Linked DNA regions of Tamandua tetradactyla. The protein of the gene in region 1 binds, or shares a complex with, the protein of each later gene. Links are inferred from orthologs where the notes say so. Each region holds a gene or a part of one and is shown in the gene's direction. Other genes may lie near its edges.

Region 1 (7,587 bases):
ATGCAAATGTTCTAAGAAATGATCATGATGATGAATAGGCAACTATGTGATGATACTGTGAATTACTGATTATATATGTAGAATGGAATGATCACATATTAAAAAAAAAGTGGGATGATGTGGAAGAGACAAGTTTTTGGATAGCAGGGCTATGGAGAGCCCCTCTGGAAATGGCACTTGAGCTGAGGCCTGAAGGATGAAAAAGAGGTAGCCATAGGGAGAGCCAGGAGTGGCAATTTCTGGGCAGTAAGTGCAAAGGCCCTGAGGTGGGAATGAGCACGGCACACTGGGGAACAGAAATAGGACCAGTGAGGCTGTAAGTTGGGGAGGGGGAAAAGCGATGGGAGCTGAGGATGGGGGTGGGGGAGGGCTTTGAGAGCTGGGGGATGGGGTGGAATGGGTGGGGATTAAGAATCCTAGAGGGTGGCTTAAATGAAGTCATTACCTAAAGTGCTTCATACAGTATCTGGCATGTAGTGAGCACCCAGTATGCTTTTGCTATTGTTATCACCCCTCAACAGAATTGCTATTCTTCCACTGTGCCCCCATAGATGATACCCTCAGCCCCATCTTAGTCTTTGCACTAGGATTTTTAATGTGGGGGTGGGAATAGTGATAAAATATCAAACCCTTACCCAGCACTCACTATTTCCCAGGTGCCGTTCTAGGGGCTTTTTCTGTATTAACTCTGATTCTCTCAAAGAACGATGAGGAAAGTATTATTCTTACACCCATTTTACAGATGAGAGACTGAGGCAGAGAAAGTTATCTCACCCAAGGTTGCAAAGGCAGGAACACGTAGTGCCAGGATCTGAACCCAGTCATTTGACTGCTGCCCATGCTTTGTAACCTCTGACCTCAAATGCCAGGGTGAAATGGGGATCTAAAAGCCACAGTGATGTCGTTGCCTTCTGGGTGGCTGTCTCTTCCCCTCCTTTCTCTGTCTCAGGGCCCTGGCTTTCCTCACAGGGGCAGCATGGAAGCTACTGTCGGGCGTACGGGAGGGCCAGACGCAGGTGGACACCCCCCAGGTGGGGGACATGGCCTACTGGTCCCATCCCATCGACCTGCACTTTGCCACCAAAGGCCTCCAAGGTAGGTTCCAGACCTGGGTCCCAGGCTGGGGTGAGGGGGATGGGAGCGAGAAGCTAGCAGCACCAAGGCTGCAGGGGCTGGAAATACTATGCCCCATCTCTACTTCCATACCTTTTGGGCCCCTTTCCCAGCCACGCCTGGCCTGGAGAGGCTGAGCTGAGGCATCCCCAGCCACTGGCCTGTCAGGAGGTCCCAAAGGCGGGGGTCTGGGCAGAGCCAGGGAGTGGAGGGGGAGATGGGATTGGGGGGCAGGGTGGGAGGGGAGGGGGCTTCCAAGAGACAGATGAAGAGGGTCTTGGATGAGGAGGAAGCCTGGAGGGGGGTTATGAGAGAGAGCCAGATGAACAGACAGGTGTGGGGACTAGTGGCAGCTCCTCAGCTTAATAGCAGAGGTGTAGCTCAGAGGAGTTGAGCATTCAGGGGAGTGGGGTGTCAGCAAACATTTTATGCTGAAGAATTTGGGTTATTGGAAAGGAACAGATCCCAGGACATAGCCCAGGTAAATATGCCGTTTATTCTAACGATATAAATAATGTTTACGTATGGTCTGCCCTGTGCTGGGTGATGCCAGGGAGACTCTGATGCCATGGCGATGAACAGCCCCAGCCCTGTTCTCACAGGACTCACTATCCAGTGTGGAAGATGGACCCAGATAGTGCCAGGTCAGAGTGGGCAGGCCTGGCAGCCCGTGAGGGGCACAGGGGACTGTAGGAGCCTAGAAGAGGGAACTGACCCTGCCAGGGAAATCACAGAAGGCTTTCTGGACGAGGGGGCATTTGAACTGCAATGAGAAGAGCCAGGAGCAGCTAATAAGCAGAGGAATTGAAGAGAGTTCTAGACAGAACTGCATGGGGAAGGCTCAAAGGGGAGAGTGAGCCAGAGGTATTTGAAGGGCTAAGAGAGAATGGGAGGATGCCAGGGAGCAGAGGGCAGGCTGTGCAGAGTCTTGAATGCCAGGCGGGGAAACTGAGGCCATCTGTTGAAGGCACTGGGGAGCCAGAGCAGGCAGTGGACAAGTCAGTTAGCACTTTTAAAAAGATCCTCTGGCTGCCATGTGAGTGATGAATTGGAGGTGTGAGACAGGCAATTCTGTCTCCCACTATTGGCAGCATCCTTGCCTCCTCTCTTTTCTCCACCCTGCATTTCATCACCAGGAAATCCCACTGGTTCCACCTTTGAAATATATCCTAAATCCCGCTACTTTTTACCCCTTTTTCTCTCCCAGCACCCTGTGCTATCCATTTTCATCTCCCTCCCGGAAGAGTACCCCCAAGGTCTGTTTCCTACATGCAGCCAGAGACTGCATGTCCCTCCCTTCTCAGAACCATCTCATGGCCCCCTCCACACTCAGGATAAAAGCTGATCTTACCAGGCTGCTCAAGGCCCTGCACAGTGTGGCGCTGTCATTCCTCCCTCTCTCTCTCCCCTAGGGTCACTCCACTCAAGCCATATAAGCTACGCCAGGCACACATCCACCTCAGGGCCTTTGCACTGGCTTTTCCCTCGCTGGAAGCGCTCTTCCTGGATGTCCACATGGCACACACTTTCCTCCTTTAAGACTTCGTGCATATCACCTTCTCCATGAAGCCTTTCTTGCCCTCCCCCACCCTTTTCTAAATCTGCATCCCCACCCCTACCCTACCCTGTCCTTTTTCCAGAGCAGTTATCACTATCTGACATACCCTATAATTTACTTATTTCCTATATTCATTGTCTAGGATGCCTGCTTCACAAGGGCAGGAATTTTTTCTGCCTCATTCAGGGCTTTCTCCTCAGCTCCTAGAACAAAGTCTGACACAGCATATGGGTCAGAGTAGAGGGTGAGATGGGATTGGATCTCTAAGGGCTTTGACTGCCAGGCTGAGTTGTTGATCTGTATTCCAAGGATACTTGGAGACCTGTGGAAGGGAGAGAAAGATGCATATGGCTGCCAGGTGAAAGAACGGAGGGGGCAAGAAAGAAGGCCCCAAGCCCAGGGAGGTCAGGCTGGGGTCCTGGGGAGGGGAGGAGGGAGACCTCTAGGACAACAAGGCTCAAGGCTCTAACCTGGGGACTTGGGGAGCAGAGGGGCTACCTGGAGATGGGGACATGGAAGAGGAGGCCACAAGAAGGAAGTCAGCAGAGGTCAGATCCAAAGGAACTTGGATATTAAGGGAGTTGGAGTTTACGCTGAGGGTACTGGGGAGCCATGGAAGGGTTTTGAGCAGTGGAGGAACATGGATTTAGAAAGATACCTTTGGTTACTGTGGGGGTGGGGGGCGGGAGGCATGGATCACGGGGTAGAAGCCCAGGTAGAAGGCTGGGGCAGAAACCCAGGAGGGAGAAGGTTGGGTGTGGGGGCTCCAGTGAATATCTGGGAGAGGATTTGGAAACAGGAGGCTGGATCCTGAATATCCCAGGCTGGATGATGCCCACTCCCTGTTTTTCTCCCTCCTGTCCTGCAGGCTGGCCCCGGCTGCATCTCCAGGTGTGGTCCCAGGACAGCTTTGGCCGCTGCCAGCTTGCTGGCTACAGCTTTTGCCATGTGCCCAGCAGCCCGGGCACCCATCAGCTGGACTGTCCCACGTGGCGGCCCCTGGGCAGCTGGTGGGAGCAGCTAGCCCGGGCCTTCGTGGGTGGTGGACCACAGCTGCTACACGGAGACACCATCTACAGTGGGGCCGACCGCTACCGCTTGCACACGGCTGCTGGTGGCACCGTGCACCTTGAGCTCGGCCTGCTGCTGCGCCACTTCGACCGCTATGGTGTGGAGTGCTGAGGGACTTTGCCGCCACAGCTGCTCCCACCCACATCTCTGGATCCTAATGAGAGGCAGGATGCCACGGTGGTCAGGCCTTGGGCTCTGGAGTCTGACAGACTTTGACTCCAGCCACACTGGGCCCTGCTGCTGCCTTTATTAGGAACTGGAACCAGTGATCAGACCTCTGGGTCCCAGCTTCCCTTTGTAAATTGGGAGCAGTGAGTGCTGAGAAAAGGCTGCTTAGCACCTGGGAGGGGCTCAATAAAAGAGAGCGCTTCTTAGGGTGTAACTGCCTTCTTGACCCCCTTCAACTGACCAATGCCTTTTGTGGCAAACCCTACACATACACCCTCCCTCCTCAGACCCTCACCTTCTGCCTCAACTTCTGACCCTTCTCCCCGCTCTGTGTGCCCCTGTTCTGCTCCACTCTCCCCTTTGTCCCCATCCGAACAAGCGACACACACACAGCCCCACACTCCACGTCCTCGTTTTCTTGCTGACCTCCCGCCGCCTCTAAAGCCCCGCGCGTCCCGGTCGCACGTTTTGGTAGCTCTCGGCCGCCAGGAGGCAGCACCCAGTTAATGGGGCGGAGCCAGGGTGCCCGCCCTTTCTCCCCCCCACCTCCAGAGGGACCCCCCTCGGAGCCCGCCCACTCGAGATGAAGACAGTGGCCCGGCCCCCCGCCGTGCCCTCCCCTGGGGGCCGCCCCCGCCCCGTGCGCTTCCTGGGTGGGGCCGGGGCGGCTTCAAAACCCCCTGCCGACCCAGCCGGTCCCCCGCCGCCGCCACCGCCGCCCTACGCGCTCTGTTCCGTCCCCCTCCCTCCTGCTGCCGCGGATCCACCAGACAGCGAGGCCCCGGCCGGGAAAGGGGGGACGCCCCCTCCGGGGGACCCCCCCGGCTCTGAGCCGCCCGCGGGGCCGGCCTCGGCCCGGAGCCGGAGGAAGGAGCTGCCGCAGAGCAGCCCGAGGCCCCAGAGTCCGAAACCAGCCGCCGCCGCCCCCGCCGCCGCCGCCGCCACTGCGGGGAGGAGGGGGAGGAGGAGCGGGAGGAGGGACGAACTGGTTGGGAGAAGAGGAAAAAAAAAGTTTTGAGACTTTTCCGCTGCCGCTGGGAGCCGGAGGTGCGGGGACCGCTTGGCCCGGCGCTGCCCGCGAGAAGGCAGGACTTAGGGACCCCGAACTCCCACCCTCGCCTCGGACGCTTGCTCTCTCCCGGCCCCCTACATCGCGTCCCCCAGACGCCCCCATTCCGGACCAGCCCTGAGGAGCCGCAAGCCCGGACTCCCGCGAAGACGTTATCTACCCCGGACCTCCGGCGCGCCCCCCTGCGCGCCGCTCCCTGGCCACCCGGCCTCCCTCCTGAGGCCCGGCGCATCCGAGGACCCTTCCTCCTCCGGGAGACGGGATCTCTCGCAGACCTGACTTAGCTCCCCCATTCAAGACCATCCACCCTCTGGTACCAGCTCTCGTCCATCTCCATCTTTTCCGTGGGATACCGAGCCACCCCACCACCACCACCCCGCCAGAGCCTCCCCTCCAACCACGTCGGCACCCTTCTCCCGGAGGGCCTCGACTTTGCCCCCCAAACCCTCCTACCTTCCCCCGGGAGACCCCCAGCCCCTGCAGGGGCGGGGCCTCCCCCCACCACCCAAGCCCCGTTCGCGCGCTCGGCAGTGCCGAGGGGCGCCGCCTCCCCCATGCCGCCTTCCGGGCTGCGGCTACTGCCGCTGCTGCTGCCGCTACTGCGGCTTCTAGTGCTGACGCCGGGCCGGCCGGCCGCGGGGCTGTCCACCTGCAAGACCATCGACATGGAGCTGGTGAAGCGGAAGCGCATCGAGGCCATCCGCGGCCAGATCCTGTCCAAGCTGCGGCTCGCCAGCCCCCCGAGCCAGGGGGAGGTGCCGCCCGGCCCGCTGCCCGAGGCCGTGCTCGCCCTCTACAACAGCACCCGCGACCGGGTGGCCGGCGAGAGCGCCCCGCCGGAGCCCGAGCCCGAGGAGGACTACTACGCCAAGGAGGTCACCCGCGTGCTAATGGTGGAAAACAACCAGAGTGAGCTCGGGGGGCAGGGAGCCGGGAGGGGGCCCCCAGGGGGCGCCGGTGTGCAGGGGTCCAGGGGAGGAAATTCCTGGCAGGGGAAACCGGCTGGACGGACAGGACCCCCGGGCTCATGGGAAGGGGTCTAAAGAGGGTGGGGCTCAGCATCCCCTCCCCGTCCAGGTTCAGGACCCCTGGGAGTGGACCGCTTCCGGGGGCGGGGGGTGCTGGTAGCGGCAGGAACAAGCAGCTCGTGGACAGAGACCCCCTGGAGAGACAGAAGCAGGGGGCGGGGTGCAGAAAGGCTTCCCCCCCACGGCGCGCTAGAATGCGGAGGTTTATGGGGTGGAGAGGGGAACCCGGTTTGGGAGAAGCGAAGACCCCGGTATTTGGCAAAGGAGAGACGGTGGAAAAAGCTGCCCCAGAACCCGGAGGCGCGAAAATTTAGGAAGGTCAGAAAAGCTGGTGAAGCGAACCCCCCACAGGTGCCGAGAAAGTGAGAGAGCGGACCACTTCCAGAGGGCGCGAGGGACACGCAGGATTGGGACGAAGGTCCCAGAGAGAGAAAAAGGGGGAAAGTGATAAATGCCGGGAGAAGGGGCCGCGGGGTCATGGGGAGGGGGAGGCTAGCGGGAGGGAAGCGCAGACCCCAGAAGGGTCCCGGGGAGCTGTCGTGGGTGTTTCGTAGAGGGACACGTGCGATACAGAGGGGGAGCCCGCGGAGGAAGCGACCCTCCGGGAAAACTGGATTACAGGGTCACGGGAATGGTTTTACCCAGAGGGGAGACAAGTGTGGGAACGGTGGACCTGGGGCGGTGGGGGGGGGCGGAGGGTGTCATGCTGGGAGCAGGGAGCTCCCCCCGCACGCGGCCGGATGGGAGTGGAATGAGTGAGAAGTTGTACCTTCCGAAAGAGGGGGGAGGGTGAGCGGGGGTGACTTGCTAAGCCCGGTTTGAGAAAACCGAGGGGGTCGGGGTGAGACAGCCCCACGTGGGCGCCACGCGCGGGGGGAGGAGCCTGCGCTTCCGGAAAGGGGGAAGGAGGACCCCGCAGAGCTCAAGCCTGAGCTCTGGGACCCCAAAGTCCCAGTTCCTCTCGCGGCGGCTGGGGAAACCCCAGCGTCCGGCCGCCTCGCCCTCCCTGCCCCCCTCCCTCTTCCTTCCCGTGTCCCCGGGGGAGGCGGGAAGCGAGCGCCGAGCCTCGGGGCGAGACGAGGCAGGTCCGTGCCCCGCCCCCGCGGCAGCGACGCCTCCCGCCCGCTCCCCCCATCCCGGCTGGGGGCGGGGCGACCGGTGGGTCCGCCGGGTCGGCGCCCACGCAGGGACCCTGGCGTCCCGGCGCCCCGCGTGAACTTGCCTGTCTCGGGGCCATTTTTGCGCCCAGGTTGCGGGGCCAGCCTGTCACTCTCCCATCTCGGTCTCTTGTCCTTTCCCATCGCGTCAGGGTCATTATAGAGGTTTCTCTAACAAGGATCCTTCCGTGTCCCCGTCTCTGGGTCCCCCCCACCCCCATCCCAGACTGCCTCGCTGTCTGCGGCGGCCCCACATATCTCTCTCTTCCCGCGTGTGCGTGTTTCCCCGTCTCTGCCTGACTTTCCATCACGCCCCAGTTGCACCCATCTCTTTCTTCCTTGTATGTGTGATTCCTCTTTGTTCATCTACTGCCTTGTGTGGGTCTCCCAGTTTCTGTCTATCTCTCCCGAATTCCCATTCCC
Region 2 (7,980 bases), on another chromosome or scaffold:
ATTTTCTCTTTTATGTGTTTTTAGCTAACATAACATGTAAGTTCAACAGTACATGTATACAATTTATAAATAAAGGACAAATATTGAGAGAAAGTGATTTAGAATCTCACTGATTCTAGTGAGCCACTCATTCATAAAGTTTGGAGACCACTGAGCATTCAAAAATAAGAGGTTGCACAAAGTCTACAGTTCGCAGACTCTTAGAACTTAAGGTCCCCCAATTCTGTCTTTTTCAAACTGACTTCAAAGGAAGCAAAGGGGTGGGTTGGGGAAATAAAAGAATGCTGCAAAGGAAGGAACAGCCAGACCCAAAAATCTTCTCCCATTAGGCACATTTGGTTGAACCACTACCTCTCCGAAAGCTTTGGAAAGATTTGGAATGTAGTAGGAGGTCAAAGGGACCATCTACTAGCAAAAAAAAAAAAAAAACAAATGAAAACCTTCCAAAGGCAATGGGGGGCAAAACGAGGGTCAGCTCCTCCCCAACTCCACATCCCGGGTGGAGCTGGGCTGCAGCGGACAGCCAGCTTGCCCATCTCCGCTGTCCCTACATGCATTCCTCAGTGTCATGAGGCCATGAGCCTGGGGAATTAATGTTATCACAGCATGTAATGTTTGGAGATGACAGGAAAGCACTCCAGTCACGTTGGAGAGAATAGCCATTTAGACTAGGCTGGGAGAAAAGACCCCTAAGGCTCAGCTCAGCATGCCTTCTCCTTAATGCTGCCAGCAAAACAAGATTCCAACTCCCAGCAGCAGTTTAGATGATAAGGATATTTATTGCCTGGCCTCTCAGACAAAAGGCTATGAAAATATATTGGCAGAGTGGAGTCGGCTACAAGGTTTGGTTTTGAAATCATAGCTGCTTTCCATTATTGTTTTCTCCTCACTGATTAGAATTCAAATCTGGCTACAAAACAAAGGACCTGAAGAGATGGTCCCTTCTCCACAAAGGCATCCTGCTTCTCCTAGTTTTTCTCCTTAAAGGCCCAATGGATCCAAATCATCCTCTCAGCACTGCGTGATGCACTGAAGTAGTTTCATCTCAGTGTGGAACCCTCTAAAGATCATCTGCGTGTTTAAAGAACCCAGCCTTCTTAGTAATTATTTAAAAGGAGTCGTGGATGATGTTACCAAGACATTCTCTCTGCTTCCCCCCACTTAACATGTCTTTGTAAAATAAATACTGGTTTTTATTGCTGTTGTTTTGTTTTCATTTTAAGGGGGTGGTCTGGTTAGAGATTAAGGGGCTTTTGTAATCTAGGCCAGGTAAGCCCCTCCTTGAGTTCCTTTATCCAGACCATCAACCTCCAGCTCTCTCCCAGAGCCTCCTAAACACCGGCACTCTAGCTGAATGGACTCTCAACTGCTGTGCCCCAAGCCACATTCAGCAGATCCTACCGAATTTCTCAGTGGCCTCCAAGCTGGGTTTTTCCTTTGCACACTGCAGAGGGAGAAGTTTATGTGGTTCGTATTCCTTCTCCCAAGACGATGCCCAGTTGGATACCTGGCGCACCCACCCCCTCCAGCTGGGATGTATTTGTCATTTGCTCCACACATCACGAACCAACCTGTTGCAGAGCCTGATTTCTTACTATAAAGAAAGAAGCACGTACTTTTAGTCCATTCAGCTGTTTTGAGAAATGAAGGTGCGATCTTGACTCACTGCGTTCTGCCTACCGAATTCTATAATGCCAACAGGCTACTGAGCTTTGTGGCAGTCTTGTCCTTCATGTTTTGTAGCTTGGGAGCTAAAAGTGGAATTTTAACTATGAATTTCCTTGCATTTAATAGTCTAAAGTTAAAAGGCCACCTTCTGTCTTCAGATATGCACGAACAACTTCCACTGGAGTTACTCGTGTATGTCTGAATTTAGTTAAAATTTTGCAACACTCGGAACTATTCAATGACATTCTTTTTCCTTTTTTTAAAATCTTTTTAATGTGCATGGGGAGGGTGTGCAACAATTAATTTTTTTTAATTAATCAAAAGTATTCACTTTACTTGAGAAAATTTGTTTATTTTTTAGGGGGAAAAAGCCATTTGGACACGTTCCTCTCTACGCCAGCTCATGTGTTCCATCTTTATACATTAAGGACCCCTAAGCCTTTTCAAGCTTGGAGGGCTAATTAGCCTAGACCCCTCCTGGTTATTTCAGGGGCAGCTGTGGCTGAGGGGGCACACAAGAGGCCTGAACTCAAGAGAAGGAGATCAAGTTCCAGCTCAGATAATAGCTGTGTGGACTCCAGCGAGTCGCTTAATCTTTCCCAGTATCTATTCATCTGGAAAACATTTACTTTGCAAGGTTACTGTGTGAATGAAAAAGATAATATATGTCAAATTTGTGTTTAACTTTAAGAGTAGCTTGCCTGGTATATAAGCACAAGTGTTAACAAACAAACAAAAAACCAATAATGTTGGAAACAGTAAAAAGAAACAAAGTGACACAAAGTCACACTACACAATGGTGGAGAAATGAATTTGGTACTACTCTTTTGGAAAGCAATTGCAGTGCATATTGATAACATGTAACATTTAAAATTGCCCTCTGATCCAATAATTCCACATATGAGAATTTGCCATAGGTAATAAAAATAATAAGGGGGAAACTTCTATGTTAAAGATTTCCTTCATAGCATTTTTTAAATAATGGAATACGAATGGAAACAACCCAAATGTTCCACAAATAAGGGAATGGTTAAGCAAACTGCTATATGCTCATAACAGAATGATGCCTAGGATGAATCTTATAATGTTAGATGAAATGAAAATGGGTTCAAAATAAATATTCTGTATGACTACATCTTTGTAACAAAGCAACAAAAATCAAACATTTGAAAGGGCCGGAAGGAAATAGAACAAAATTTCCAACAGTAATGGTTATAAAAAAACCCAAAGAAATACATCAAACAAAAAAACCTATCTGAACCTTTATCCCTCTCCGCATACCATACCTTATCCATAGATGGCACTCATTACATATTAAATGACCTTTTAAAAATATTTTATCTTAGCTCTTAATGAACTAGAATGTTCTGTTCAACTAAATTTCCAAGTATCAAAGCTTTAACTTAATTAGCCCTCCACAAACAGTTCTGAAATATTTTCTCCCTGTAGTTTTATCTTATTTTCCTATCCAGATATCTGCAAGATTGTCAATATTCAGGGACTAGCACATTTGGCATTTGGTCAGATAGCAAAAGCTTGGATTTAGCCATTAAGTGTCACAAGGCACAACATCAAAGGAATTTACAAACTGTTGCCCACATAGAGCCTGGTCCATGTCATTTGATCCCAGAGAATGCCGAGCAGTAGGTGATGCGTGGCCCACGCCGGATGGCCAATGTATACATTTCCATCAACAGGAGAACGGGTGAAGGACAACCAAGCGAGGGGCGGCGGGCTTAAGAGGAGACAGCCGTTTTCAGGGAAAGCTCGTCAGCATATCAGAGTGAATTATAAATAAAGCCTCATTAATTTACAGAAATAGAACAAAGCATCCCAAATAGGCAGCTGTTTGGGTATTTGGTTCCCTACCCACCGGGAGTAATGTTTATCGCCTTCAGAGGAAAGCCAACTTTCAGTTTTCTTTTGTGATAATATTATGAAATAACCATTTTGTGTTTCTAGTGTGTTCCACAGGCCTCGCTACAGCTCCTTTGTGAGCAGAGGAGCGTGCTCAGAGCCCAGTGGAGTCATCCACCCAGGAAATAACAGATAGTCTGTTTTGGTGCAACCCACAAAGGAAATGAGTTTTGCAGAGAAGAGGAATATCTCTGTGGCAGAAATTCACTCAGTTCTTAAACTTCAAATGGAAGTGTTTCCTCACATCTGAATTCACTTAAAAAAGCCAAAGAGCAAATGTGCCCCTCAATTAAAGGAAATAAAAGCCCCTTGAAGGCACACGGAATCACAAAATGTTCGAACTAAAAGGAATTTTAAAGACCTCCTCGTACCCCTACCATACACATACACGCATACTCTTTATACGTTTTATACATGGAACAGCTCAGGGAGGTTAAGGAACTTTTCCAAGATCACAGAGCCAGTAAATGTTAAAGCCAGGATTCCAACTCAGGTCTCCTGACTCCACCTCTGTTCCCTTGCCTCTTTACTACTCAAGTAGTTCATGTCCTGCAAACTGCTAAACCTTCACCAATATTGTTCCCCAGATGCCCAAGGGACAGTGCAGCATGGGGGAAAGTCCTTGGAGTCAGACTGGAGTTTAAATTCTGACTCTGTCACTTCCTAGGGTGTGACTTTGGACAAGTCAACCACTCTCTCTGAACCTCGGGCTCATCCATAAGCAAAGATCATAAAGCAGATCTGCCTCACTGTGCTTGTGAGAATTAAATGAGATAATGCACATCAAGTGCTGAGCAGACAAGGCACGTGGTGGAAACTCGATTGACAATATCTACCATATTCACTGCTTCCTTAGAGGCAGGCCCAAAGCCCTGAAATTTCATCCTCAGCCCTCTAAGAAGAGTATATACTCCAAACAGTCTATCATTCTCAACAAAAACTGTGTGGATGTCTCTGTCCTCAGCTGTGCCCAGCCAGAATAAATCTAATACAATCTGGGCCATTTAATACTTGGCCTCATTTTTTATACTAATCTCATCAGTTTTTATTAACATTTCCTGGTTTACCCAATCAAGCCATTTTTAGAGATCAGTGACTTTAAACCAAAGCTACCATTAAAATTGACATCTTGAAAATAACAGGACCCTTCTGAAATGTCAATATAAACATGATGGGAAGTGGATCGTTTGCTTGGATGCCAGCCCAACTGTAAACTCACTCAATCCTATTTTGGAGTATTAAAATCTATATGTGCTTAGTAACCAGCCACCCTGCCATCCACTAGGTTTGAATGTCCTTTATGGAATGAACTTGATCCTCCTGCTTTAATTCTGGTCTCACTCCAGAAAAGCTAATGCTCTGGCATAGTTCTGCCATTTGTCAGCCAGAAGTCTGGTTACACATTTGCTCGTCAATCTAAACCTAACCTATTCTCATATGAGCACTTGGGGTTTCATGTAAATCAGCCAGGCGTTCTGTCATTTACGAGCAGTATCTCTCCCTAAGACTCTACCCCCATGCGCCTTCATGAAATATTTCACCATGTTTGTGGAAAAAATATTCAAATGAATGTGCTTTTTCAGGAATGGTGGCACCAGAATGTTATAAATCTGTTTATTACCACAACAAGGATAAATGGTATTTCTGCCAAAGACTTTTGATAACGGGTGCAGTCATGCATCTCAGCAATCTCTGAAATTAAAGGTCTGCCCTGAGAGGTAAGTAGTATAATGCATGACTAACAAACGCAAACCCAAATTTGGGAACTGAGTTTTCCTTGTCAATGTAATTTATAGTTTCCAACAGATTCTGCCTTAGAAAGTTCATAATGTAATTTCTACTAATATTCACCTGGATATTAACATCCAGGTGAATCTGACCCTGAGGTTTGTAAAAGGGCAGATTCTTATGCTCTATTGAGATTTTTCTTACATTTGGATTTGCATGCTTTAACAGCTTCACTTCAAAAACCTGCAATGGTTTCAGAACAATATTTCATAGAGGTCATTATTCAGTAAAATGGTTAATGTTTAGCTAAATAGTCTCTTGTTAAGATCTTAAAGGATTTGTTTCTGACTAGTATTCATTGTTGTTTTTTTTCTTTTTTAAAATAAACAATGAAACTGTAGCCTTCACTAGTTTTTATGGCATTCCAAAAGGCATGAAAGAACTAAAGAACTGGAAATTTAAGTTAGAAGAATAAACATCAGTTCTCATTGACTTGTGCATGACGTGGGCCAATTAGTTCAAATGTTTCTTAACTAGATTGTAAAATAGTGTTTTAATGTAGAGCTAAGCCATGAGAATTAGGGAGAAAAATAAAGAGGGGAGGGCTTCTAATAGAGACTTGTAATCTACAATGAGCACGTTTCATTCCTACAAGTGTCTGAAAATGCCTGGTATCAGTGCCATTCACCATGGGCACTCTAAGTACAGCCCTGTAAAAAAAAAATCTAATATCTCTGAAAAGTTATTCATCCAGATTATGTGTCCTCTAAAATGAACGACTCACAGATGGAGCTATATCCTATTGGCTCTCAAAGTGCTTGAAATGGACAGAATATGGATTCTGGTCAGAGAAAAATGGTTTTCTTTTATGTTTTAGATATTGAACAGGTTCCGAAGATCATATCTAAAAGTTTTTAATACTGAATTCAAAATATGAAGTCACTTGGTCATAGTATGAAGATTGGTATCTACCTAAGTAAAATCCTGTGCCTCATTGAAATGCAGAAATGCCTTCCACCTCAGTCTCAGATTTTTCTTCATCCCCATGGTAGCCTTTTTCCTCTAGCTGAAGCCTACTCCCTCTAGTGTTTACTGGACAAAGCACAGGATCTAAACTTCAATTTACAAAAACAAACAAACCAGCAAACAAAAAAACTCCAGGGGATTGCAATCTATTGATATGTTGCTGGTGTATTTAAGCAAACTTACCAGCAAATGTTTAGACCAGAACTCTGGGCGATAGCAAAAGTTTTATCTGAGAGTCTCAAACTTAGCAGAATCTTGTTTTCAAACTTCAGATTCCAAATGGACATCTGTTTGTTAGGGTTATGTTCCTTCTCTGCCTTTGGATCCTTGCATTCTAAATTTACTTTTATTGTGACAACCAGAAGGGGAAAAGATACTCCAATAACTAAAGTGTGCTAGCAGGCGTTTCTTTGACATATTTCACAGAGGTAGAGCTTGCTCTATGATTCTTCTAAGTTACCCGAGGGGACCCAGGTATCTTGACTCAAGAGAAAAGAAATTTTTTTAGAGATGGACTTATAGAAGCCACAGGCATATTTTCAGCCACAGAAGCCCTCTTCAAATCAGGAGGAATAGCCACTTGGGAAATGTATTGCTTATGGGCACTTTTTCTTTAGAGAGAAGAAAATAGTCTCTCCAGGCTGTCAGCTGCCATTGCTGCTGCTTTGGAAATGGGCCACAGCTGATTGTGGGAGCTAAGTATAGTTTGAGGTCATCCAGGGAGCCACCCAGCCTGCTCTCGGGGATGGCACCCACCTAGCCACGGCGCTCGGGCCTGCCAGCCCAGCCCAGAATGCTATTTTTGGTTGGAGTTCCTGCAAGCAGGTCCTTGACTGTCCTTCACATTGCTGGCATTGAGTTTCCTCTTCACCATTCTGCACCATTATCTGCTCTGTCCCCCCACCTCTTCTTTCCTTACAATGTCCTCACTTCTTGTGAGACCCCCGTAGGGTTAAACCGTACTATTAAAACTAAACTCTTGTTTAACAACACAGAGTTCATCCAGGTATCCAACTCTACGACCCCTAATTACTTCAGGCTCATTTGGCCTTTCTTCACTAAATCCATCGACCACCAGGCATCACCGTGTCTTGTCCACTCAGGTTCTCAAGCACCAGTCGTTGATCCTTTCCTTTTGCATGTCCGCTTTTGTTACATTTCATCAACCTTTGCCTAGACTTCTATAAGAACTGTTCCAACCTGTCTCCTTGCCTCCTAACCTCAGTTATCCTTCAAAAGTAATAAATCAGGATGCATTAATCTTCTGTTTAAAATCCTTCAGAGGTTTCACAAGATAAATTTCAAACTCTTTAGGTTGTTACTTAAGATTCTTCAAGATCTTCACCAGCTTTCCATCCTTCCTTCATTGCATAAACATAACCAATTGACATACAACATAAACCCAAATATTTACTATTCCCCAGACCCATCAGGCTCTTCTTTGTGTCCATGCGTTTGTCTTCTCTGCCGAGCAATCTTCTACTTTTCTTCCTTAGCCATTCAGTTTGAGCACTGTCTTTTTGATGGCGCTTCCCCTCCGTTCCCATAGCTTCCCTCACATCACACACATCCATACAGTGAGTCTATCACTCCATGTGCTGCCCAAGCCCATTGTTACCAATTAATTATTATATCACTACA
Region 3 (7,609 bases), on another chromosome or scaffold:
ATTTAGCAGAAGAGATTTCCAAGTTAAATGTGCAAAGTGAAGCCTGGTTTCTCCTCGCAGCTTATAGTGAAATGCAATAGGAAAGAGATAAGTTGAGAACTGAACTTTTGGGTACAAAGAAACCAGAAACTGATGGTCTGGAAGATTTGGGGCTTCCAGAAAGGCAGACCTTAGAGAATAGTGTCCTATGTGAGGATTTAACCAAATATGGAACCAGTCAGCCATTTCAGGAAAAGCCAGGATCAGAAACAGAGTTATCCAGGAAGGATCTGTTGAAAGTCCTATTGTCTGATGGTTATGATCCCTGCATACTACATATAAAACCAACAAGAGTGTGGTGGGATCTGTATAAATGGAACCACTGCGAGTCTGGACTAAAAGGGAGAGAAAAGGGACAAATCAAAGGAAAAATAACATCAAAAGCAGAACCGTGGAAGCTAAGGTTTGAAGCCAAGAAACTTCGGACCAGGAGAGCAGACCCACCCTTGCACTTGGAGAGGGTGAGTCTGCCCTGAAGGCAGAGGGTGGACCTTCCACCTCCATGTTCGGGAAGAGTTGCACTCCAGGCCTTAAAGAGGGTGGAGCACATTCCTTGGAAATTGGGGAGAGTCTGGCTGCCACAACATGGCAGGGTTGAGTATGTACCCCAGAGATGGGAGAGAGCCCAGATATGGCTGTGATTATTAGAGAGGGTGGAACCCAGAAAAAGGTCGTCTCCCCAATATCTCCCAAGGTTGCATTTGGAGAGAGCTGGGCCACTGCATAGGCCATTGGAAAGGGTGGGACTGCTGCTTTCTAAAGCCCAGAGAATAAATGACTCTCAGACTTTCATATGTAAAGGAGTTTGCCTTGCAGGTTTTGTCCCTATATTCCTTCTAGTTTCTCCCTATGGAAATGGAAACATGTATCCCGTGACTGCCCCTCCTTTATTATGTTGGCAGCAGATAACTTTTTCTAAGTTTTACAGGTCCACAGCTAGGAGCATTTTGCCTTAGGACAGATAATGCCTAGAGGTTTCGTACTGTTTCTGATTTTGTATTGCACTTGTATTTTTACTAAAATGGTTTAAGGCTTTGTGATATTGTGATGGAATGAATGTATTTATTTTACATTTGGAAAGAACATGTCTTCTGGGGGCAAAGGATGGAATGTGTTGGTTTGAAACTATCGTGTACCCCAGAAAAGCCATACTCTTTAATCATCATTTAATATTGCTGGGTGGGATCTTTATGATTGTTTCCACGGAGACCTGACCCACCCAATTTTGAGAACTTTTGATTATGTGGTTTCCATGGAGATATGTCTCCATCAAGGTGGGGTTAACTATAGGAGTCCTTTAAGAGGGGATCATTTTGGAAAATGCCTGTACACCTTTTGAGATGCAGAAGGAAAACACTCCTGGGGAAGCCTTAGGAATGAGGAAAGAAAGTTAGCAGACATTGTCATATGCCCTCCTAGCTGAGAGAGAAACCCTGAACTTCAATGGCCCTTTCTTTGGAATTAAGGTATCTTGCTTTGGATGCCTTAATATGGACGTTTTCATGGCCTTAGATCTGTAAACTTGTAACTTAGTAAATTCCCTTTTTAAAAGTCATTCCATTTCTGGTATATCGCATTTTGGCAGCTTACAAACTGAAACAGTAATCCTTCAGTGAAAAGTTCTTTCCAGTATCCTCTGTTCTTTTTCACAGGAAGCAGTTAGATATCAGTCACAGTAATATATTTCACTGGACTCACCATTCAACATTTCCTGTAAGTGGTAGATGAAGCAATCTCATAGGCAGCTTGAAGTTATCCTTTCAAAGCCTATAGAATATATCTGATCCCAACTTCAGAAAAACTATAATATTAAGACATGAATATGATTCTAGCTACAGCTATTAGGTCATTTGGACAAAATTTAGTTATTGCGATAAACCAAAATAGTGATAATAAATAAAAATTTAAGGATTAGGAAAGAAAGCTAATTCATCTAATTTAATGATTTAGCAACTTAAAGAATTTGATGATAGGAAGGATGAAATGAATAGCTAAAATGTTATTTTTAGATTATCTGTGAATTTAATTTGCTCTCATTACTGCAAATGATGAAAAATTAGCTGTTAGAAATTTCAAAGCAATACACTAGAACATGATAAAAAAAGAAAAAGAATTAATCAAGTCACCATCTTTTCTTTCTCTCTTAGACTTTTTCAGGTAGTATGATGAAGATAACAATACTGAATTACTTCAAAAATCCTGTATCTCCTTATAGGAAAAAAAAAAGTTGCAGCACAATGACCAGTAATATTTATTGGAAACAAGCAAACATGTTGTTCCTGAGCCACTAGTTACATTCATGATGAGAAAACCCTATAGGTGATTTTTGGAGTTTTAGAATTCATTTTTATCTGTGTAGGCCAAAATGTATGAATAATTTGTAAATAACTTAAAGAGATTACAGTCTCCCATCAAGAATGTTTTATTTTATTTCTACAACCAGAATTCCAACCTTTTTACAAGTGGGAAGTGGTGATAAATAGAGATTGGCTTCACCAGCTCTAGAAAATTGGTATGTTGACATACATTTGTACACATCTCACGTAATAAAAGGAAGAAGTCTTTCTTTCTGAAGGGCTTCAAAACTTCCTGAAACAGAATTATAAATTGCATCATATTCCTCTTGTTACACAGTTGGTTTGGCTTGGTATGTATTATATCAGCACCTAACAATATAGTTACAAAAATTAATGCATACCTCATCAATGTTACAAATGTACATCCATTATTTCCCTGACTTCATATTTTATTTAATACCGTCATTGTCATTTCAAATCTAGCATCAAGAATTCGATTTTAACATATGTCATGGAACTCTGACATAATAGTCCTGTACAGTGTAGAGTGGACTAACACATTTCCTCATGGGGCGTATGGATTGACTTTTTTTCCTTATTGCAGCACTGCACTGCGTTCTTAGGTCTGTAAAATAATCTCTGGAAAACATAAATGCTGCCCAAATAAAGAACCCTTAATCGGAGCTCCAGTGTGATCATCTAGTGGTCACATGGTTCTGTCCTCACCCCATTCCAGCCACTTTACAGACCCTTCATTTTAAGATTACCAATATAAAGCCATAGCTGCTCGATCATGGAACTAAGGAAAGAAATAAGGAAGCTGAGTTGAATTTAATTCTGTCTATTTACAGCACGTTGCCTGTAAACCCAAACATAATTGGGTTTACAAGTTTCAACTTTTAAGGTTTCGATCATGTCTTTGGTCTTTCAAAAGAATCTGATCGGTAGATCCAGGGCGCTTTTAATTTTGCAGCTGGGTTCCTGGCTTGTTAGCTAATTCTGCCGGCCTCAATGTGCAGTCCACACCTGAAAGGGGGAGTTTTCAACGTTGTGGTTAATTAACCAGGTACTTTCCATTCACTCAACTAACAAATAGAAAACAGAAAGAAAAAGAGAGCCTTCCACTTAATTTTTTTCGCTCCGAAAGTGGAGACGGAAACGGTTAAGCAATACGAAGGAAGAAAATCCCCGCATATTTTGCCTTAACCTGGCTGGACTGATCTAATACCTGCTAACAGGCGCGTGCTCCATTAAAGAGGTCTGCTAGGCGGCTAGTGGAAAGAAGAGAGGTCAGACTTCGCGACGGGAGCCACTGCTGCCTCTAGAGGACAAAGATAAAGATCACCCGTGTCTCAAAAACCTTGTCTTCAATCCGGGGGATTGGGTTCCCTCCCATGGCCCGGCGTGGTAGTGACAGGACCCGAGCGAGCAGGCTGCTTCCCCGACAGCTCCCCAGCTAACATCCTCTCCCCTCTAGCACCTAAATGTCTGAGCTGCGAGCTGGCAGCAGCGCCTTCCCACCTCCTCTCTTTAGTTTCTCTGTCCCCGCTCCACCGTCGTCTGTAACATCTTTGTGCCGCGTATCGGGAAGGTGACGCTTAAGGTCAGAAGACACACTGTACCTAGCAAAAGCCCAAGGCCACCACCAGACCCGGAGAAAAGCGGGGTTATCGGGCCCCCCTGGCAGAGGCTCCGAGTGGAAGGGCCGCAAGAATTTTCACCAGCAGCTCAGTTTCATCTGCAGACTCACCCAACTCTCCAACCCTGGGGAGACGGCCGACGGCCTTGGGGTGGGGCGAACGCGAGCTAACTGCAAGCAAAGCCGGCGGCCGCTCCCCCAGAGCAAAGAGTGTTGGGGGCGGGGAGAGGCCCCTAGATTCCACTTTGTAGGCTGCAGATGCGGGGCAGTATCTCCGAACAAAGGAGCGCACAGCGCGGGGGTGAGTGGCTGAGGTTTGCGTGCAGCTGCCACTCGTGCTGAGCGAGTCTCCACACCAGCTGGGCGAGCGATGGGGTGCAAGAACTCGGGGGAGGTGGGAAAGAGAATCCGAAGCGCGATTCCTGTTGCGCGGCTACGCACCAGGACTTCTTGCGAACTATGGGAATGGCAACTATCCGAGCCAAGGGGGGTAGGGGTGGGGGGAGAGCCAGAGTGAGCAAAACAAAGAGCGAGTGTGGGCCGCGGTGACTTCATGCCTCACCAATGTCCCGCCCACGCTGCTCGAGCTGTTGCTGCCTCTGCCGCCTGGGCCGCCGCCGCCGCGCCTGCGGGCCGCTGGGGCCGAGCGCCGGGTAGCGTGGGGCGGTTTCCTAGCAACTTGCGGCCCGCAGCACGCCTAGCTACCAGCACATCCGGAGACCCCCGGGGTGCCGGGACAGGCCCACCCCACCCCCGCCCGTCGGCAGCCTCACCTCCCCAGCACCCTCGCCCGGTGCGTCCCAGAGAGCGCCAGCTGCAGGGGCTCTCAGCGGCGGGACGTGTGCGCCGTGCGCTTGGGTCAAAAGGACGAGGGCACGAAACCCCCGCCGCGCGAGGCCAGCCTCCCAGCGCCACCGCGGAACCTCCCTGTCCCCGCGCGCGGCCGTCCCCTCCACTCCAGGCCGAGCAGGGAGCCGGGATGCTTCGGGTTGGGCCAGCGGGCGCCGGTGGGCACTCCTAGGGTGCTCCGGGAGACGCCGCCTCTTGGCTGCTGGCACCCCGAGCTTCCTTCCTCGCCAGCCAGGACGCCGCCGCCTCGTCTCTGCCCGCTACTTGTCTAAGGAGGCTGCAAAGCTGCAACCCAGTGCAGTTGCCCTTCCTGCCCACCTGTGGAAGAAGATCGCGCTGACTGATGCGCCATCAACTTTTCCCCCTTCGGCCTCCCCGGCGTCCCCTCCCACAGATGCAGCATCACCCAGTGAATGTACTTTAGGGTGGTTTTTCCCCCCAGCTTCGGGCTTTGTTTGGGTTTGCTTGTGTTTGGCTCTTTGCTAAGCTGATTTATGCAGCAGAAGCCCCAGCGCCTGGAGAGAAACAAAAGCTCTTTTCTTTGTCCGGGAGCCGACTGCCGAGCCCTCGCTCGCGTCGCCGCCGAGGGCCACCGGCAGCCTGAGGCGGTGCTTCGCACGGAGACTGCGGGGGTCGCCGGGCCGAGCTGGGAGGGCCGCGGGGGCCCTGAGATGCCGAGTGGTGCCGTGGCCCGCGTACCTGCACCGATTGCCGGGAGCTGCGGGGTCCGCCCGCGCGTCCAGCGGGTAACGTCCTAGCGAGCCTCGGTCGCGGGCCCCGAGGTGCGCCCCGGAGGCGCGAGCGCGCGCGGGGAAAGAAGCGAGGCGGCGGGCGCGGTGCGGGCTGCTTTGCAGTATGTGCGGCTCGGCCCTGGCTTTTTTTACCATCGCATTGGTCTGCCTGCAAAACTGCCGGCGAGGTCCCGCGTCGGTCCTCCGGGCGACCGGGCTGTATTCAGTTGTTCTCGGACTGGCCCAGAGCGGTAAGTGGTTTTCGTTTGTCTCTTTCTGTCGTTTGTTTTTGTTTTCCTCCTCTTTGCTTCCCCAAAGGTATCTGGACTAGCACGAAAAGCTGCCTGGCCAAACTGTCCGGGCCAACAAAGTAGCCGGGGTCAGCCTTGGTCTGTCCTGGGAACTTGTGTGGCAGAGTCCGCCTCGGCAAGCAGCCCCAGGGAGGCCAGGTGTCAAGCCCTTCCGCCTGGAGTGACAGCAATAACCAATTATACGAGGAAATACTGTTCTTTTCTCCTGGGTTGGGGAAGCAGTAATAAAATGGAAGTTTGGAAGTGAGGTCGTATTTGCAGAAGCCAATTTAGGGAATCCAGCCCATCCTTGAAGTATTTGCACAGAATATGCTCCACATCTGTCTAATATTTGAATACACCAGGTGGCATTTGACTCAAGGCTGTGAATAAATTGACTGTCAATTTTGAGTCCACAACAGAAAAGAAAGCAGCCTGCAAGTGTCTTCTACCATACAGCTCAGCCTGAATGAATTAAGCACACCTGAGTACACGTCTTCTTTTAAGTCACCATCTTTCAGGTTGTTTTTTTAAAAACAACAAAAACTTTCCCAGCTATTTAATCCCTCACTATGATCAGTCCCTGAGATTGAGTAGCAGAGAGAACCCTGAACCCCAGAATTGACAGCTTTCAGTTCAGGCATGCTGCTTTTGTCAGAATTAGCATGAGTTTGAAAGTCTACCTCTTTATAAACTTTATCCTCATTTGTGAAATGAGGACAATACCTGCTCTCCCTAAATCACAAAGGGAAGCTCCATCAAATAGTGTATGAGATGTTTGGGGTTTTTTGGATTATATGCAACGTAAGGTGGTAGGTAGCATTGGATTATAAGCAGAAGTAAAATATACAAGTAAGGGTGATGTCCATTTAGGATGAGTCCTTACTAATTTTAAATATAGGTCAAACATTTATTTTTCCCAATGCAGTGATTATTGCCTGTATATTATATACCTTTTGACCTTATCTGTGTTTAGTGGTCATTGAGTCTTTAAATTCTAATAGAACCTTTCTCTGACCTTTCTGGTTCTAGGAAAGTTTAATAATCACAGTTGCTTTGTAGACTTAAACTTTACTCCTACACTTAAAATTGAAGCGCAAAGTTTCTGCCTCAAGCTAATTAAAACAGTCAAATCATAACCTTGTAAAGAAGGGCTTAAAGTGGAAACACCCAACTAGCTTCACTTAATTGTTGCATATGTAATTGTCTAATGTTTGTGTCAAGGAGATTTACCCAGTTATGTAAAATACGGGCAATTAGAATAAATTTTATCCTGCAGTTATTTTGTGGCTTTTGTGTTGATTTCAAAACAAATGCAACTCAAGGCAAAGGAACAAGTAGCATTGACTAGCATGAATTTATTGAGGCAGTTTTTCTGTAGAGCATAATCCCATCCTATTTCAAGAACAAGTGACAAAGTGTTTTTCTAGATCTGGTAAACACATACACACATAATGGTAAAATGGCAAACTTGTATGAACAGAGTTTATTTTTACCCATACACATGCAAAAGAAAACATCCTACTTACCTCTATCTCTAGATGTTTCTAATAATGGTAATATATTGTTTTATTCATTGTATCTTGTAAAGATTAGTCAAATTCTCATGTGGTAGCACTGTTTGCCCATGAAGTCAATGTAAGTGATTTGAAGCGCATGTTATGAATAGGCCTCCTTGCACCTGCAGTTGTGAAAAGGGAGTGCTTATCTGAAATCAGAACAAAGCATCCTATTCCCAATCTCTGTCAACATACAAAGGTTTCT
Region 4 (6,849 bases), on another chromosome or scaffold:
TGGGTGACCCTAATAATTTCACTCACATCTCGGGGCTTACTGATTTGCTTCTTAATAAGGGGAACATTGGTCAAGAGATAATAGCTGAGATTGCAGATTGATGATTTGCATGGAGAGGAATCTCCCTGTCATCTTCTATAGCTGCCAATAACCTCAACAGCTGCGTGTTAGAAAGTTCAGAGGAAAAAAAAAGTTTTTGTCTCATCACTGCTGGGAAATTCAGGGTATGGGATTAATCATATTTTGATTCAGTTTAATTGTTTGTATGTGTGCAGAGTTTGTAAAACTGAAAAATGGCTGTCAAGGTGTATTTAAAATCATTTTTCAACCTTGTAGGTATAAAAATTACCTTCCTTATTTTAAAAATCTTGAGCCAAACTTTCATCTTTTCCTGTTTCCACCTCAAATGGCCCATTTTATGCATATATATATTAACCACCCATGAGAATACACAGAAAATTTGATTAAGCCAAATACACAATTGTACATGAAAAAAATGTCTTAATCTGAGGTTATCATCTTTTTCTCTCAATGGGAATCTCTAACAGAAGGGCATATTGACAGATTTTTAAGATTGCCAAATTATAATGTACATGAATTTTTATGTCAATGATTTCATTGTGATATTTTCTGAAAGATTAATTTGTTCTTGGCAATGCTGAATTCATACTTTTCTCAATTTCACAGGAGATTGAAAATTAAATCAGAAAATTTAAAGGCAAACAAAAGTAAATCAATGTTAATGATAAAATATGACAAAGGCTACCAGTTAAACACTGCACTGTGAAATCAAATATCTCAATCCTGGTCTCTAGAAAATGAAAAAGAGGAGACCTTTGTCTATTAAGTTTTCTGTTTCTTGGAGGGCAATCCAGACAGTTAGAGAGAAGTGTCTTCTGGCTGGAACACCAAAATATGTTGCTGGACTTTGGTTTCCAGGTTCTTGACTGCGCTGCAAGAAAGAATTCAAGGGTACTGAACAGATAGAGCAAGCAAGTAGGAAATTTATTAGATACAAATATAAGAGGACATACAGGCACTCTTGCAAGTAAAGAAAGATGGCAGGCAAGAGCCAAACCTGGCCTCTAACAATACAAAACATCTATCTTTCTGATAACCACAGAAAAAAAAAAAAAAAAAGCCTTGGAATTGATGGGCATTTATTTGCTTCAGTGTGATCTGGGGAGTAAGGAAGTACATGTATATTGCCCACAAGAACTTATGCAAATTTAGAAAAGGAAAAGAAAGGGGAAAATAATTCACATATATCTCCATTCTCAGGAAATGGAAGTGGTGGCAACATCACCCTCCAGATATAATCTGTTCTGTTACATCTCAAATTACCAGGTCATATACTGCTTTTTTTCAGAGTTATGAAGTAACTAGGATAATTAAGTAAAATTTTCTTATGAACTTTTTTTTTCCTCATTCATTCATTATATTAGCTTCCTCGGGCTGCCATAACAAATTGGGTGTCATAAATAAGATAACTTTATTGTTTCACAGTTCTGGAGGCTAGAAGTCAAAAATCAAGGTATTGGCAAAATTATTCTCCCTCAGAAACCTGTAGGGAGACTCCTTCCTTGCTCCTACTTAGCTTCTGGTAGGGTGCCACAATTCTTGGTATTCCTTAGCTTGCAGGGGCAGCACTTCTTCCCAGGTGTATGTTCCTGGGTCCAAATCTCTCTTTTCTCATAAGGACACCAGTCATAACCCAGTTTTGCCTCATTTCAACTAATCACATGTTCAGAGACCCTATTCCCCAAAAAAGGGTAACATTCACAAGACAGGGATTTAGGATTTGAACACTTCTCTGTGGGGTACACGATTCAGCCTATAACATCCATTCATCCAACATGTATTTATTTAAAATCTATTAGGTGCTAGATACTGAGACTATAATAGTGAGTGGAGGGACGATATGATTCCTGCCCTCCAGAAATTAGAGTTAAGTTAGGAAGAAGAATAGAAATTAAGGAATGATGCAAATAATTGAAAAATAAGTGAGAAATTAGAGCCATGGTAAATGTTAAAAGGAGAGGCATATGGTGCCAAGAGAAACTGATAAAAAAAAATCCACTTAGAGAAATATACTCGCCCATCAAGGAAATTATGATTCACCAAGGAAAACCAAGAGTTGGCTTGGTGACGAGGAAGAGAAGGAAAGAGGAAGGGAATTCACACTGAGGAAGGCCCTGTGTAGGAGAGACGGGGCATGCTAAAGGAACTTAGAGAAGGCTCCCTGCATGTGAGAGGAAGTAGAAAATGGAAGATTACAGGAGAGGTGGGGGGTTGAATACATTTAAAAAATTGTTTTCTGTCTTTTCTTTATCTTTAGAGCAGTGGGAGGCTGTTTAATTATTTTAATCAGAGGATTGGTATAATCAGGTTTTCAGCTTGGAGGGACTCCAGCTTTGCTTTGAGGAATGACCCTGAGGAAGAGTGGTTAGGAGATTCCCAAGTAACTCCAGGAAAGGGATAATAGTGACAGAAGTGGGGGGAGGGGTTGTAGAGAAAATGGGGAAAAATGGATTTTTCAATGAACCTTCCTCCATGTTAAAGGGTCTCCAGTTTTGGCAAGGCTGTTGGTGGGAGAGAAGATGTTCAGCTACGCTGAGTTCACCCACTTCCTGCATCCTGAACAAGGGATGTGGGATGGGCGTTTTCCTAAAAGACACATCCAGAGGCAGCTTCAATGCTGGAGCAGTGGGGGTGAGATTTAGGGTCCCAGGATTAAACAAATGAGCCCTTTGACGTGGGTTCAGGAGTAGGGTTTCAGGAAGTATTTACTTTTATTCCCAGTGAAACTGACCACCTGCCTCTGCAAACAATTGTTTTCTCAGATGAAGGAATTCATTGTATAGCCTGCTGGAAGATCTCCTGGCCAGCAAGCTACACAAAATCTAAGACGCTGAAAACTGGACGTAGTATGATCATATAAGTCATTCCGGCCAGGACATATCTGAAAGAGAAAAGGGGGTTCTAATAATAATTAAATTGTGAAAATAGATGTAAACCAAAATTACCTTGGGTAAAACTGGTCGCCCTAGCAAGAAGGGAAACTTGAAAGGTCCTATCCTGCTCCCACTAGTATCCTTTTTGCAAATGAGATGCTAGGTAGTTCTCTTCCTGGGCAATAGTGGAATGCAAACGCTGGCGTTTGGTGAATCCCAGGTCACTTTCATTTTTCCATTTTCTGCCATACTTGATACATTCTGAAAATAACATTTCCTCCATTATCATTCTGTGATGGTTGACCGTTTACAATTATGCACGGACTCAACCCCAGGAAGAGGCAATTCTAGAGCCTTGCTACTGAAAATGGAGCCAACTCCAAGGAGTGCAACTCAGGCCCCCCCAGACCTATCGAATCAGAGGATTCCCAGGTGGCCCATACACGCATTAAATTTGAGAGAACCTGATGGACTTGGTATATACCAGTAAGAAGACATTTTCACAATGTGACACCCATACATATATACATAACTGAACATAATTTTAACGAAGTCATTACTTATCCTTACTATTTTAGCGAAAAAACAGGCTTCGACTCACGAAAACAGATTTCAGGATTCACTCATGGGTCCCGACTGATAGTTTGAAAAACACAACTCTGTAAAGCACCCAGGAACAAACCAAAGGTTAGGACTTGGGAAGGTGGGCTTCGTGGGGGGACTACAGAAAGTGTGGACACTTCCTAGGTTCAGCTGCTTTTCTGACAGGCCTGCCGTTAGTCATTCTGCGCAAATAACTTGGAGAGTGGTGTGGGAGGGCGGTGAGGGGCAGCTGAAAGTTTGCCAAAGCCCTCAGAGGGGCTGGTCCAGGGGAGATGATTGACAGCTTTGAGAGAGAGCCGGGACTGAAAGCCGAGGAGAGGGAGAAGGCTCTCCGGCTGCGAGAGGTCCTGCCCAGCTGTTGGCGAGGAGTTTCCTGTTTCCCCCGCAGCGCCCGGGTGAAGTTGTGAGTGAGTCACTCGCCGCACGGACCGACAACTCCTCAGTGCGCGCACACGCCCGGGGCAGGAGCCAGCCTCCTGCGCAGCTCCCCTTGGCCGCCGGGGGCCCCCCCGCGCCTCGCCAGCCTTCGGGCCCCCTCCGTGCTCGCTCGCGGGCGCCACATCTGGCCCGCACACTAGGCCTGCGGGCCCGGCGCGGGGTTCGGAGAAGGCGCGGCGCGGAGCTGGCGAAGGCGCAGCCAGGGGACCGGGGAGGCGCCGTCCGCTGCGCTCGGGGCTCGGTCTATGACGAGAAGCGGGGTCTGCCATGGGTCGGGGGCTGCTCAGGGGCCTGTGGCCGCTGCATATCGTCCTGTGGACGCGCATCGCCAGCACGATCCCGCCGCAAGTTGAGAAGTCGGGTGAGTGACCCCCCAGCCGGGGCTTGGCGGACTGACTGGGGTCTCCTGGGCTCCCCGCCCCTTCGAAGTGCTTGACAGTCGAGCCGGAGCAGCTAGCGCTCGGGCGGAAACGGGAAAGTTTCCTCTCGCGGCACCCACGCAGCCCGACTCCGGTAGCCGCAGGGGTGCGTGAGTTTTTCTTTAAAAGAGAAGGAAAGTTAGAGTGGAAGGGGGCCTGGGGCACGTCTGGCCCGCATTGTGCGAGTAGGAAAAGGCGTTGTGTTGGCCGCGGCCGAGGCGAGCCCCCACCCCCGGAAAGGGAAGTTTGAGAAGTTGGTTTATCTGAAGAAGGCAGGGAAGCAGCGGCCCGGAGCTGCAGCCATCGAGGCCGCCAAGTCAGCTCGCACACCTGGGGTCACTGCGGGCCGTGGCGATGCTGCGCACCCACCTTCTTCTCTTCCCGAGACACCCCTTTAAATGGCCATTTATTCCCTCCTTAGCGCCTAAGAGTGAAAATGCATTCCCCAAGGCGGGCTTCTGAGCTATTGGATAAAAGTTTCAAGAAAAGAAATGATTTTCAAAGCAAAGTTATCTGGCTCCACTGACATCCTGGCGTTGGATGGGCAGTGGGGATGGTCAGATGGAAGGCTGAGTGCCTACTAGCTGCTGGGGATGCTGCTGAGAGGAAGGCAGTCCTGCCTGCAAGGAGTTGGTGATTCTCTGCAATTCTTGTTTCGGTTGGAAATGAAAGGGTTAAAATTGTGCCTCGGCTGCCCACCAGCTTTTAATCTCTACAGTTTTGGGGGGGGGGGGAATACAGAATTTAGGTTCCTAAGGTTTTGTTATGCAAAGTGTAGAATCTCTGAGACCTCAAAAGCTAGAATTTTTGCAGCTAAGGGCCACATAACTGATTATCTGCAGCTGTGGTCTGAGTAACTGAGTATTTGGGCAAGTCATATGACCTTTTTGGGCTGCATGCAGTTTTCTCACCTGTAAAATGACACAGTTGGATTCAGATTAGATAACTTGATGTCCCCTTTATCTTTAACATCTTGTGGGCTCTTTTATTTCTTTTGATGGCTTGGAGATGGCCTGTGCAGATTTGGGATGAAATTTAGAGGATGACACTCCATATCATGGGGAGACACAGTTTACACTTACCTTTAGGGTGGTGTGGAAGGTGGTAAATTTCATAGGCTGCCTATTTGAAGTAGACCAACGGTAACCTGAGGGTGGGAGTTTTTAATGAAATGAGGAAGAAGTACTGTTGTAAACAAACAAACAAAAATCCTAACACAAATTTAAGTCCTAAGGGTTTAATAAAACCTCACTGTTTTTGTTTTGGGATGTTTTCCTACAGTGCAGTTAACAGAATGCTCAAGAGTCTCTGATTTTACTCTAGACTCTTAAAAACTGAGCTCTGTCTTTGCTAATAAATAATTAAAAGTGGCACCCTTAATTTTCTGCATACATTAAGAATTAAGACTTTTGTTTCAGATTATGAAAGAAGAAAATTAGTGGGCTCCAATTTTGTTTGTCTACATGGGTTAGGTTTTGTTTACAAAAATAAGATTTATAATTTGCAAATTCTGGGCTCAGCAGTTCATGAGTCAGTTACATTCCATATATATATATACACTTTTAAACAATCAGTTTAAAAGCCTGGTAATTTTCTATTTGTCTTTTTTAACAAACCCCACTTTTATACTTTTATGGAATTAAAGTTTCAAAATAGTTGAAATAAATAATTTTGAATTTATATTCACTTGACCCAAATTAAATTTTCAAAGATGGTTGAAGATTGAGATAGTGATAGTGAAGATGAGAAACCTAATTCTACTTGCATTTTAATTTTCTGTGTCAGGAAATAGTTTCAGTGTTTTCTAACATAGTTGGTTAACGGTCAAATCATTTTTTAAAATATCTTAGAGTAAGATAAGATATGAGGAAATGAGTTTGTTTATAGCCTCCTATTAGGTAAGCTGAGAGTATATCATACCATCATCTGTTTAGTAGATTGAAAAGAGAGTAATAGATTTCAGTACAAGAATAAATTTCACTGCCAAGTATATCATTACTATTATTTGACTTAGTAGATTCGCTCTTCATAAGTACTCAAAATTAAGAAATTACTCTTTTAGGGAAAAATGTAAATGCCTGAAAACTGTTTAGATGTGAAAAATATGACCTTTACTTTTCACATACCTAAAGGATTCTTTACTTTCACATACCTAAACATTCATACAAGTGTCATAAGAATAAATTTCTTTCTGGTTCCTACAATCACATTAACAGCATTGTTACTTCTGTCAGGATCAGAGACTAGGAATCATTAGGCCCAGAATTTGATCTCTGGTCTATTTACTTTATTTCCATAAAGCACATTTCCCCCCCAGGCTACTTCCTTTAGTAACATCTTATTTTTAACCAGTTATAGTTTAAACAAAATACTAATTACATTTTGAATTCAGTGCCGACTTTTCAAACTAGCCATCCCATGGTGACGGCTCCTCT

The links.
Region 2: the proteins of TGFB1 (region 1) and ITGB6 are in contact, whole or in part, in a crystal structure (PDB 5FFO), measured with the Homo sapiens proteins. The link is inferred for Tamandua tetradactyla from reciprocal best matches to the Homo sapiens genes TGFB1 and ITGB6. Residues at the interface, in NP_000651.3 of Homo sapiens: Pro70, Gly71, Pro72, Glu75, Leu158, Asn237, Gly245, Asp246, Leu247, Thr249, Ile250, His251, Met253, Asn254; in NP_000879.2 of Homo sapiens: Ser142, Ala143, Ser144, Asp146, Asp147, Pro196, Cys197, Ser199, Ile200, Pro201, Tyr202, Lys228, Lys231, Ile232, Ser233, Ala234, Asn235, Ile236, Asp237, Thr238, Glu240.
Region 3: the proteins of TGFB1 (region 1) and ITGB8 are in contact, whole or in part, in a cryo-EM structure (PDB 7Y1T), measured with the Homo sapiens proteins. The link is inferred for Tamandua tetradactyla from reciprocal best matches to the Homo sapiens genes TGFB1 and ITGB8. Residues at the interface, in NP_000651.3 of Homo sapiens: His117, Thr241, Arg243, Arg244, Gly245, Asp246, Leu247, Thr249, Ile250, His251, Gly252, Met253; in NP_002205.1 of Homo sapiens: Ser156, Ala157, Ser158, His160, Asn161, Asp213, Tyr214, Asn215, Leu216, Gly248, Asn249, Ile250, Asp251, Thr252, Glu254, Gln286.
Region 4: the proteins of TGFB1 (region 1) and TGFBR2 are in contact, whole or in part, in a cryo-EM structure (PDB 9FKP), measured with the Homo sapiens proteins. The link is inferred for Tamandua tetradactyla from reciprocal best matches to the Homo sapiens genes TGFB1 and TGFBR2. Residues at the interface, in NP_000651.3 of Homo sapiens: Arg303, Lys309, Trp310, His312, Tyr368, Tyr369, Val370, Gly371, Arg372, Lys373; in NP_003233.4 of Homo sapiens: Phe47, Leu50, Phe53, Asp55, Ser72, Ile73, Thr74, Ser75, Ile76, Cys77, Glu78, Val100, Asp141, Glu142.

The regions. Positions count from the first base shown.
Region 1 is NC_135342.1:22,447,962-22,455,548, forward strand, and holds the start of TGFB1 (transforming growth factor beta-1 proprotein), read left to right. Parts: upstream 1-4,583; 5' UTR 4,584-5,533; coding exon 5,534-5,888; intron 5,889-7,587. Other genes in the region: B9D2 (B9 domain-containing protein 2), read left to right, coding at 970-1,095, 3,540-3,853. UniProt on the Homo sapiens protein: Transforming growth factor beta-1 proprotein: Precursor of the Latency-associated peptide (LAP) and Transforming growth factor beta-1 (TGF-beta-1) chains, which constitute the regulatory and active subunit of TGF-beta-1, respectively.
Region 2 is NC_135329.1:130,969,564-130,977,543, reverse strand, and holds the start of ITGB6 (integrin beta-6), read left to right. Parts: upstream 1-4,976; 5' UTR 4,977-5,303; intron 5,304-7,980. UniProt on the Homo sapiens protein: Integrin alpha-V:beta-6 (ITGAV:ITGB6) is a receptor for fibronectin and cytotactin. It recognizes the sequence R-G-D in its ligands. Internalization of integrin alpha-V/beta-6 via clathrin-mediated endocytosis promotes carcinoma cell invasion.
Region 3 is NC_135327.1:103,729,199-103,736,807, reverse strand, and holds the start of ITGB8 (integrin beta-8), read left to right. Parts: upstream 1-4,603; 5' UTR 4,604-5,679; coding exon 5,680-5,806; intron 5,807-7,609. UniProt on the Homo sapiens protein: Integrin alpha-V:beta-8 (ITGAV:ITGB8) is a receptor for fibronectin. It recognizes the sequence R-G-D in its ligands.
Region 4 is NC_135341.1:57,549,070-57,555,918, reverse strand, and holds the start of TGFBR2 (TGF-beta receptor type-2), read left to right. Parts: upstream 1-3,832; 5' UTR 3,833-4,262; coding exon 4,263-4,356; intron 4,357-6,849. UniProt on the Homo sapiens protein: Transmembrane serine/threonine kinase forming with the TGF-beta type I serine/threonine kinase receptor, TGFBR1, the non-promiscuous receptor for the TGF-beta cytokines TGFB1, TGFB2 and TGFB3.